2 linked regions of the Caenorhabditis elegans genome follow. The protein of the gene in region 1 purifies or fractionates together with the protein of each later gene. This does not show direct contact. Each region holds a gene or a part of one and is shown on either strand. Other genes may lie near its edges. The genes, in order: Y54G2A.18 and tmed-10.

The links.
Region 2: the proteins of Y54G2A.18 (region 1) and tmed-10 fractionate together in Caenorhabditis elegans (co-fractionation; one large-scale study listed by BioGRID). This does not show direct contact.

What each region holds. Positions count from the first base shown.
Region 1 is NC_003282.8:2,890,871-2,894,464, reverse strand, and holds Y54G2A.18 (Endoplasmic reticulum transmembrane protein), read left to right. Parts: upstream 1-1,969; 5' UTR 1,970-1,976; coding exon 1,977-2,068; intron 2,069-2,176; coding exon 2,177-2,537; intron 2,538-2,591; coding exon 2,592-2,780; 3' UTR 2,781-2,905; downstream 2,906-3,594. Other genes in the region: Y54G2A.19 (Intraflagellar transport protein 46 homolog), read left to right, coding at 1-48, 152-295; dib-1 (Thioredoxin-like protein), read right to left, coding at 2,971-3,360, 3,500-3,538.
Region 2 is NC_003283.11:11,323,161-11,328,629, reverse strand, and holds tmed-10 (GOLD domain-containing protein), read left to right. Parts: upstream 1-1,665; 5' UTR 1,666-1,683; coding exon 1,684-1,788; intron 1,789-1,908; coding exon 1,909-1,971; intron 1,972-2,021; coding exon 2,022-2,346; intron 2,347-4,226; coding exon 4,227-4,348; 3' UTR 4,349-4,665; downstream 4,666-5,469. Other genes in the region: str-141 (Serpentine receptor class r-10), read left to right, coding at 4,810-4,989, 5,062-5,143, 5,239-5,317, 5,365-5,469.

The sequences.
Region 1 (3,594 bases):
CATCGCTCGGACACACGTGGCCACCCTTCAACCGGACGCAAAAGCCACGTAAGATTTCATTTTTCCGTTCAAAAAACGTGAAAGAAAACCTTGGTCGCAGGGGAACCTATCGCCAATTTTTTTCTTGTGAATAATGAAATCCTTTTTGCAGAACTCAACATCTGCTCAGTCCAGCGTGTATAATTCTCGCACGGATCCCGAAAACGCGGCAATGGATTCGGACGAGGAGCTTCGGAAGATGATGGAGGGATTCGTTGACGATGAAGAGAGCGACCCAACCTACGAGCCCCCATAATCCCCAAAATTCAATATATTTTATGTTTATTCTCCCAGTCTATTGTGAAATATGTAAACTAATTTCCTAACATTATTAATTGTTTTCCTTATTGTTTCTAATTTCCCTCTCGAAATTCTACCATTCACCGCTCCCAATTATATTTATTTTATTTATTGAGTTTTCTGTGATCTCACACCATTCATCAACACGGTTATTTTATTTTTATTCTCCCAGTCTTGTGAAATATTTATGTAAACTAATTTTCTAACATTTTTTATTGTTTTCCTGTGAATAATATTTTGTTTTTTTTTATTACTGTTTTTCCTTTTTTATTATTGTTTTCCTGTGAATAAATTCGACTGGTGCTCCAATAATTTTGCATTTTTTCCAGAATTTTTTTGGTTTTTTTTTGCCGTATTCATATTTTAAAACATAATTCTGACCATATTACAGAAAATTTTGCCGAAAAAACCAAAATTTGGGTTTTTAAAAATTGTTTTCTAGTAAAGTCGATATCCAAGCTACCGTAACCAGCGCTCCGCTGTGAGACCTATGATCCTTGATGGTGTATGCGCCTTTAAAGCAACCGGTAGTTTTTCCAGCTTTTTAGCAGAAATTATTCGAGAAACTGAAGAAAAGAAGAGTTTTGAATTGTTTTATGCAAATTTCAGCGATTTTTTCTTCAAAAATCTATGAAAACTCCTCATTTTAGTCTTTTTTTTCTCCAAAAAAAACCACATTTGCACAGATATTCCCGGCCGTTTAAAAATAGGTCAAGGTCGTCCTTTCGCCGATTGTTTAGTCATTTTGTCTACGTCTCAGTTACTCTAAAAACGCCCATAACGTACTATGTTCGAGGCGAAAATTTCGCAATTTTTCATCTAAAAACTTCCAACACGCCGAGATACACGTCGCCAAAGCCCCGAGCATAAAAGCATGAGGTATTCATGTTTTGCAGTGCTGATTTTTTGGTTTTTTTTTCTAAATGTTTCCACTTCGTACATTGATTTTTTGCATATTCTGGGACACGATTAGAGTTTTTCTTCAAGTTTCTGTGTGAATTTGGCCAATTTTGAATGAAAATCGCCGAAATTGAGCAATTTTTAAAGAAAATTAGCCATAATTGAACGATTTTCCTCAAAAATTGAATTAAAAGCGTTTTAAAAATACAGTATCCTTAAAGGCGCATACCCAAATTTAGTATTTCGGTGCGAGACCCTCTCGGGTAAATCGAACTCCCTTTAAAGTTAATCCACGTTTTCCTTCAATTTTATTGGATTTTTATGAACTTTTTGCCTGATTTCGATGAAAAATAGCGATTTCAATGAAATTTTCGACGGTTTTTCATGAAAAATAGCGATTTTTGATTAAAAAACGTTTATTTTTGCTCTAAAAATCTTTAATGATTGACCAAATACAGATTTATTGTTTTCTATTTGTTGTCTCCGCTGCTCTTTGGTGTCTTCGATGTTTTTAGTTTTTTTCCGTTTCTCTCCCCTCGGTCTCCCCAATTCTTGCACTCTCTCTCTCGTCCATCGTTGTGTTCCGATCGATTTCAGGCAGTTGTTTGTTGCACTGCCCCCACAAACTCTTATTTCTTATCACTTTTCTTTTTTTTTTCGGTGGAATTTTACCATTTTTCGCTGATTTCTTTTATTAATTTTGACAAAAATATAACTTTTTTTTCTTCAGAAACAACATGACACTTCAGTGGACCATCGTGGCCGGCGTGCTTTACGCAGAAATCGCCATCACCTTCACCCTCCTTCTTCCATGGATCAGACCGACTTTGTAGGTGAAAAGTTCGAGAAAAACCGAGGAAATTGCAGCTTTTGATCAATTTTTGACGAAAAATCGATATTTTTAAATCTTAAAAATCCTAAATTTCTCAATTTCCAGGTGGAGCAAGTTGTTCAAGTCCCGTCTCTTCACAGCTCTCGCCAAACATGCTCACATCTATTCGATCACGTTCGGCTTCGTGCTCTTCATCCTCTTCGCCGACGGCGTTCGCGAGACAATGAAGTACAACGGGCTCGAGGGACAAATGGGCCGTACCGCCGAATCCGACGCCACCCACCACATGCGTCTGTTCCGTGCGCAGAGAAATCTCTACATTTCCGGCTTCGCTCTTCTCCTTTGGCTCGTCATTCAGCGTATTATGACCTTGTTGGGCCGCGCCGCCCAACTTGAAGCCGCCAGCGAGGCCGCAATGCGTCAAGCCGAATCTGCTACCAAGACCGCCAGGACTTTGATGAACTCGGTGAGAAAATAGGCTCAAATTCCTTAAAAACCGTGTAAATTTCCAAATTTTCAGGCTGACACCAACGAAGAAGCCGCCGGATTGGCAAAGCAAATCGAGAAGCTCAAGGGAGAGCTCAAGTCCGCCAACACTGACCGTGACACTCTCAAGAAGCAATCCGAAGGGCTCCAGCGCGAGTTCGACCGCGTCTCCGATCTTCTCAGAGATTCTGCCGAATCCAAGGGTGACAAGAAGAAGGACTAATCGATTCTCATTTCGCGTTTTGTTTTTTCTATTATCAAAATCACAATTTTCTCAAGCCGCCTATATATTTTTGTTTTTGTATAGAATCGCTCAGTTTTCGAGTGAATAAAATGTAAATTATTTTGAAACATTTTTAGATACAGTTTAAGAATTTACAGAACACAGAGAACAGAGAAAATAATTAAAATAATTAGTACTTGTACTTGGTCGAGTAGTCTTTCGGCGAGATGACAAGACCACGTCCTTTACGAGCTCCACGATAGACCGTCTCGATGATGTCGATCAGCTCCTGCCCGTCGGTCACTGCCCAGTTGATTTTGTTGTTGTTACCGGTTCCCAGATCCACCATAATATGCTTGTTACGGAAGAAGAACATGGCGGTGCACGGATCGTACAGCTCGTACATTTTGTTGAAATCCGGCACCTTCGTGATGTCGACGAGGTAGACGACGGCGAAATTCTTGACTTTTGGCGCGATTTTGAAGAGCGTTTCGTCCATTTGCATGCAAGTTGGGTCCCAATCGTGTCCGAATCGCACGACGACTACGCGATCTTCTTCGGCGAGAATCGCCTGGTCCACCTGCAATAAATCGTTATTTTTTGTCAGTTTTGAGCATTTTAAACAAATTTTCATCACAGAATTCTGTTTTTCTGAACAGCAAACATTAAATTTGCAGGTTTTTTTGCCGTTTTAAAATCAAACTGTCAATTTCCCTTACCTGCCAACCATTCTCCAAATGAGGGAGCATATACGACATGGTTGCGTTGAATTAGTGAGTTTTTGAGCCAACAAATCTGAAAAATTGATAAATTT
Region 2 (5,469 bases), on another chromosome or scaffold:
TTTCCCCCAAATAAGCTCGAAATGAGCTCTGAATTTCGGCGGATCTGAAAATTTTTTTTGACCAAAAACAGAATTTTGCAAATAAAAATTGATTTTAGAGCAATTTATTGCATAAATATTCAATTTTAGAATTTTTACTAATAGTTTGAATCTTTTTAAAGTGTTTTAGTCATTAATTTGACTGATAACACAGAAAATGATTTTTCTTTACAACGAAATCGATAAAAAAGTAAAGCAACATTTATCAAGGGAAATCTTGCAAAATTGGTTAAAAAACTTGTATGAAATCAAAGATTTCACTAGAATAAAGCTACAAATCAATCAAAATCACTAAAAGTACAAATAGTTCTGATCAAATTTCAATGTTCCAATCTACCAATGGATCTATGCCACGCCAAATTTCTTATGCAAGTGTTGCTCTCCAATTTTCCTTAAAAAATGGATCAAATACTCACATAAATGATCAAATTAACATTTTTTACAAGTTTCGTGTTATATTTTCTTTTTCTTAATAAGGAACCATCAGGTTCTTCCTGCCCTCTACGGCTCTAGATACCTCAACTTCGACAACTCCTATCTACTCGGAGAGGTGAGAGAACTTGTAGAGCACATCAAAAACTATGATATTCAATTTAACCTGCGTTTTTATCTTTCAAGATGGGGGAGTTAGACGTACATTTGTATTGCATGCTTTTTGTTATTCTACTGGCTGCTCTAACTCCCTCATCTTAAGAGATAAACACATGATTTTAACTAATTAGTATAGTTTCTACAATTTCCTAGTTAATCACTTTTTGATATCTTGCATCTCTGAGGAGATAGGAGTTGTCGAAGATACAGTATCTATAGCTATGCGCATATGAAGAATCTAATGGATTCTCATCATGCTATACTACTTATCATCTGCTTTTTGTGGGAAACAATGATTCAAAAATGTTTTTTCAAATGATCAAACAAGTTGTGATTTGATCTGAACATTTAGTGTTGGTTTAGTGAAGATCAGCTGCCAACTAAACAGTTTCCGTTGATGTGGGCATTTTTGAACAATTTCAAGACGTGAAACCGTGTTATCTCTATCAAGCTGACGTTTAAAAATTGGAATCAAACATATTAATGCTTGAAAAAATTTGTTTCGCGTAGAAATTTTGTCATAAAGTTAACTTGTTCTAGTCGGTTCGAAAATCAATGAAAAAGCAGCCAAATCGTGAATTTGTTGAATAAAATGTTTTTTAAAACTTTTTTAAAGCAATAATAATCCCAATATTTAATTATTTTTTCCAAATTTCATCTTGAAAACTCGAATAATCGCGAAATTTCGTCTGAAACTCATTTAATACCGTAAAAGTGTGCAAACGCGCTCCGTTGGACTTTCCTATTCTCGATTTTCTTAACTCTCCCGATTTGAGGCGCTGTGTTTTCCTGTTAAAATGCGTTTGTCAACGTTGACAACTCAACTACGGTTGCCAATGCGTGTTTGCGTACACACTCGATCCCACGCGCAACTGCATACGCCGCGTTGGTTTTAATTCCATCTTTTTTAAATTTATTTTCGGCGTTTGTATTGATTTTTGCTGTGTATTCCTTTAACATGAACTGATTTTTGTCCATGATAACTTTTGAACAACTTAATATTCATTATCGCATTTTTCTTACATTTATTTCCAGGTAATCATCCGAACAATTATGAAATCTCTAGTTATCTTTCTGTCAGCTATCGTTCTTGCCCATTCTCTGAGGTTCTACGTGCCACCAAAAGAGAAAAAGTGTCTGAAAGAGGAAATTCACAAGGTAAATACTTTTACAACTCCTTGTTACCATAGCAGTAAAGATGTCAAACATACTTTTTTTCGTTAAAAATTGATATATTTAATAAACATCAGAATTTATGTCTAATAAAACCTCTTGCAGAATGTGGTCGTAACAGGAGAATATGAGTTCAGTCAAGGAATTCAATACACTGGAAGTATTCACGTGAGTAAAAATAGTTTCAAAATTACTTCAAATTTTTAATTTATTTTCAGGTCACCGACACCAGAGGCCACACTCTCTACAAACGTGAAAACTTTGCTGATCTAAAAGGAAAATTCGCGTTCACTGCTGACGAATACGACATCTTTGAGATTTGCATTGAGAATCATCCACCAGCTGGGCATCCTGGAGAGAAGCGCGAGGTTTCTCTTATTTTGAAGCACGGAGTCGAAGCCAAGAATTATGATGATATTGCCAAAGCCGAGAAGCTGAAGCCACTCGAGGTTGAACTTAGAAGATTGGAGGATATGGCTGATTCAATCACCAAAGATTTCGCATTCATGCGCCAAAGAGAGGAAGAAATGAGAAATACGAACGGTAAGTGTTTAAAAAATCATTTGAATCATATAAAAGGTTCGTAATTATTTTAATTTAAAAATAATGCATTGCCGATTATCCAAGTACAGTGCTCCACATAATGATACGGCCACCCCCAAATTTTGGTATAACTCAAAACTGGGTTGAGATAGCAAAACATAATTTCTTGTGAAAATGTCCGCTGTACTGGCTAACTTTCAGATAAGTATTGGAAATATACATGAACCGTTCGTAAAAAAAGATAAACCATTTTTTCATGAAAATCCATATAAAAAAATCCACAAAATGATACGGCCACCCTTGGTTATTGTTTTCTTTTTTCGTTTTCTTTGCAATTTTTTTTGCTAAACGTTAGGTTTCATGTTCGTTTGTGTTTTTACAGCTATGTGTCGTGGAATAACTTTAACTGACTACGGAAAAAGACAAATTGTGCAAAATTATCTCAAGGCTTTTCGGATCGTCAGATTTCTCGTGATTTGAAACGTTCGAGAGATATGATCATTCGATATGCTTCAAATCCTGCCGCTCATTGCACCAAACAGTCTTCTGGTCGCCCACCACTTCTTTCTGGTAGAGACAAGCGAAAAATCGTTCGTCGAGCATCAAATTGAACAGTGACTTTCTCAAAAATTAGGCGCGAGATGAACCTGCCAGTGTCTGTTGAGACTGCACGACGTGTTCTTTCGAATTCCCAGTTTATCAAAAGACGAAAATTGAGAAAGGCTCCTTTCATTACCGAAAAAACCGCTAAAATCGTATTCAGTTAGCTAAAATCAGCCAGAGAACTAACTGGAGACAAGTGAAGATTACCGTATGATCATTCAAGCCCAATTTTGGTTTTAGTTCATCTTTTCTTCTCTCAAATCGTACCAGTAATCACGGTAGCCTTCTGGTTCATCACAGTTAAACTTTTCCTCGTCACTGAAGATGATCTGAGACCAATACATGAGCTTGAATGATCATACCGTAATCCTCACTTGTCTCCAGTTAGTTCTCTGGCTGATTTTAGCAAACTGAATACGACTTTGGCAGTGTTTTTCGGTAATGAAAGGAGCCTTTCCTAATTTTCGTCTTTTGATAAACTGAGACTTCGAAATAACACGTCGTGCAGTCTCAACAGACACTGGCAGGTTCATCTCGCGCCTAATTTTTGAGCAAGTCACTGTTCAATTGGATGCTAGACGAACGATTTTTCGCTTGTCTCTACCAGAAAGAAGTGGTGGGCGACCAGAAGACTTTTTGGTGCAATAAGTGGCAGGATTTGAAGCAAATCGAGTGATCATATCTCTTGAACGTTTCAAATCACGAAAAATCTGACGATCCGAAAAGCCTTGAGATAATTTTGCACAATTCGTCTTTTTCCGTAGTCAGTTAAAGTTATTCCACGACACATAGCTGTAAAAACACAAACGAACATAAAACCTAACGTTTAGCAAAAAAAAATTGCAAAGAAAACGAAAAAAGAAAACAAAAACCAAGGGTGGCCGTATCATTTTGTGGATTTTTTTATATGGATTTTCATGAAAAAATGGTTTATCTTTTTTTACGAACGGTTCATGTATATTTCCAATACTTATCTGAAAGTTAGCCAGTACAGCGGACATTTTCACAAGAAATTATGTTTTGCTATCTCAACCCAGTTTTGAGTTATACCAAAATTTGGGGGTGGCCGTATCATTATGTGGAGCACTGTATTAAGCTTTTATTATCATTGTTAATTAAATAGATTTGTAAGGCTACAACATATCGTTTCGAGACGCAATTCATTCTCTTCACGGAGCAGGATATTGTGATCCCTGGAAATTGTTTACCACTTTACTTGAGCAAACTCTAATTATTCGATTCATCGACAACCATCTATTTTTTACTTTTTTTTACAGAATCGACAAACAGCCGAGTTCTTTACCTGTCCATCTTTTCAATGCTGTGCCTTCTTGGTCTTGCCATTTGGCAAGTTCTTTTCCTCCGTAATTACTTCAAGTCGAAAAAGCTTATCGACTAGATTTCCCCAACCCTTAATTTATGATTAATTTATCAATTTTTTTTTCGGTTCTCCTCAACTTCTTGCTTTTCCCCCAACATCTCTTTTGTCCACACACCCAAACGTTTCATGTGATTTCTAATTGGTTCCCACATCTTTTTTACTAGATAATGATGATAATGAGTATTTTATTTTGTTGGATTTTAGTTGTTTCCTCCCCCGTTAATCTGCACAAGTATCAACAAAGGGTAAAATGTATAGTGTGTAATGTTTCCGTCTTATTTTTCTGTTTTCATCATTGCCGTTTTTTAAAATCATTATTATGAACTTTTAAATTGAAACATTGAAACATCAATTGGTAATTTACTCACCATATGGTGATTTAGTAAAGTACATAAGATCACTTTTCAAGAAGTCTTTTTCAGACGTCATCCTTTCAGAAATAACTTCAGACTTCATTCTCCACCAGTTCACTTACAACAATGATCGGTCTACATATTTTCCACTACGCCGGCTTTTTCGGAGCACAAATCTTCAATACTGTTCTGGCAATATTAATTGTGAAAAGAGCTGGAAAACTGTTTGGTAGTTACCGTCATGTTATGTTTGTATTCACATTTTGTTCGATGTTGTACTCTGCAGTAGAGATAATTGCACAGCCGGTACGATACAATAGAAAATTGGAACTTGAAATTGAAATTTTGAGAATGTTACTTCAAATAATCGTCTTTCAGGTACTATACATGAAAGGTCCAATGTTTGTCGTGTTTCTTGATAATAACGTTTTTTCTCAAGGCATTGGAAATGTAGTTGCTTGTTAGTTTTAAACATTTTACTTTTCATAGAACTCTTAAACAAAAAATGAATTTCCCTCTTTTTTTGGTTATTGAAGTGAAAACAACAATTTACAGGTCTTCATTGTGGTACCTTTGGATTTTTGATTTCTGTATTTGCGGCACAGTTTTTCTACAGATACATTGCATTGTGCAGGTTTTCTTGAATAGATTCAACAAATTTCTGATTGAAACTCTTTTCAGACAAAGTCTGTTATCTTATTTCGATGGATATAAAATATTTTTGATCTTCATTCCATGCGTAATTACATACATTCTCTGGTTTGAACTTGTCGTTTGGGGAATGTC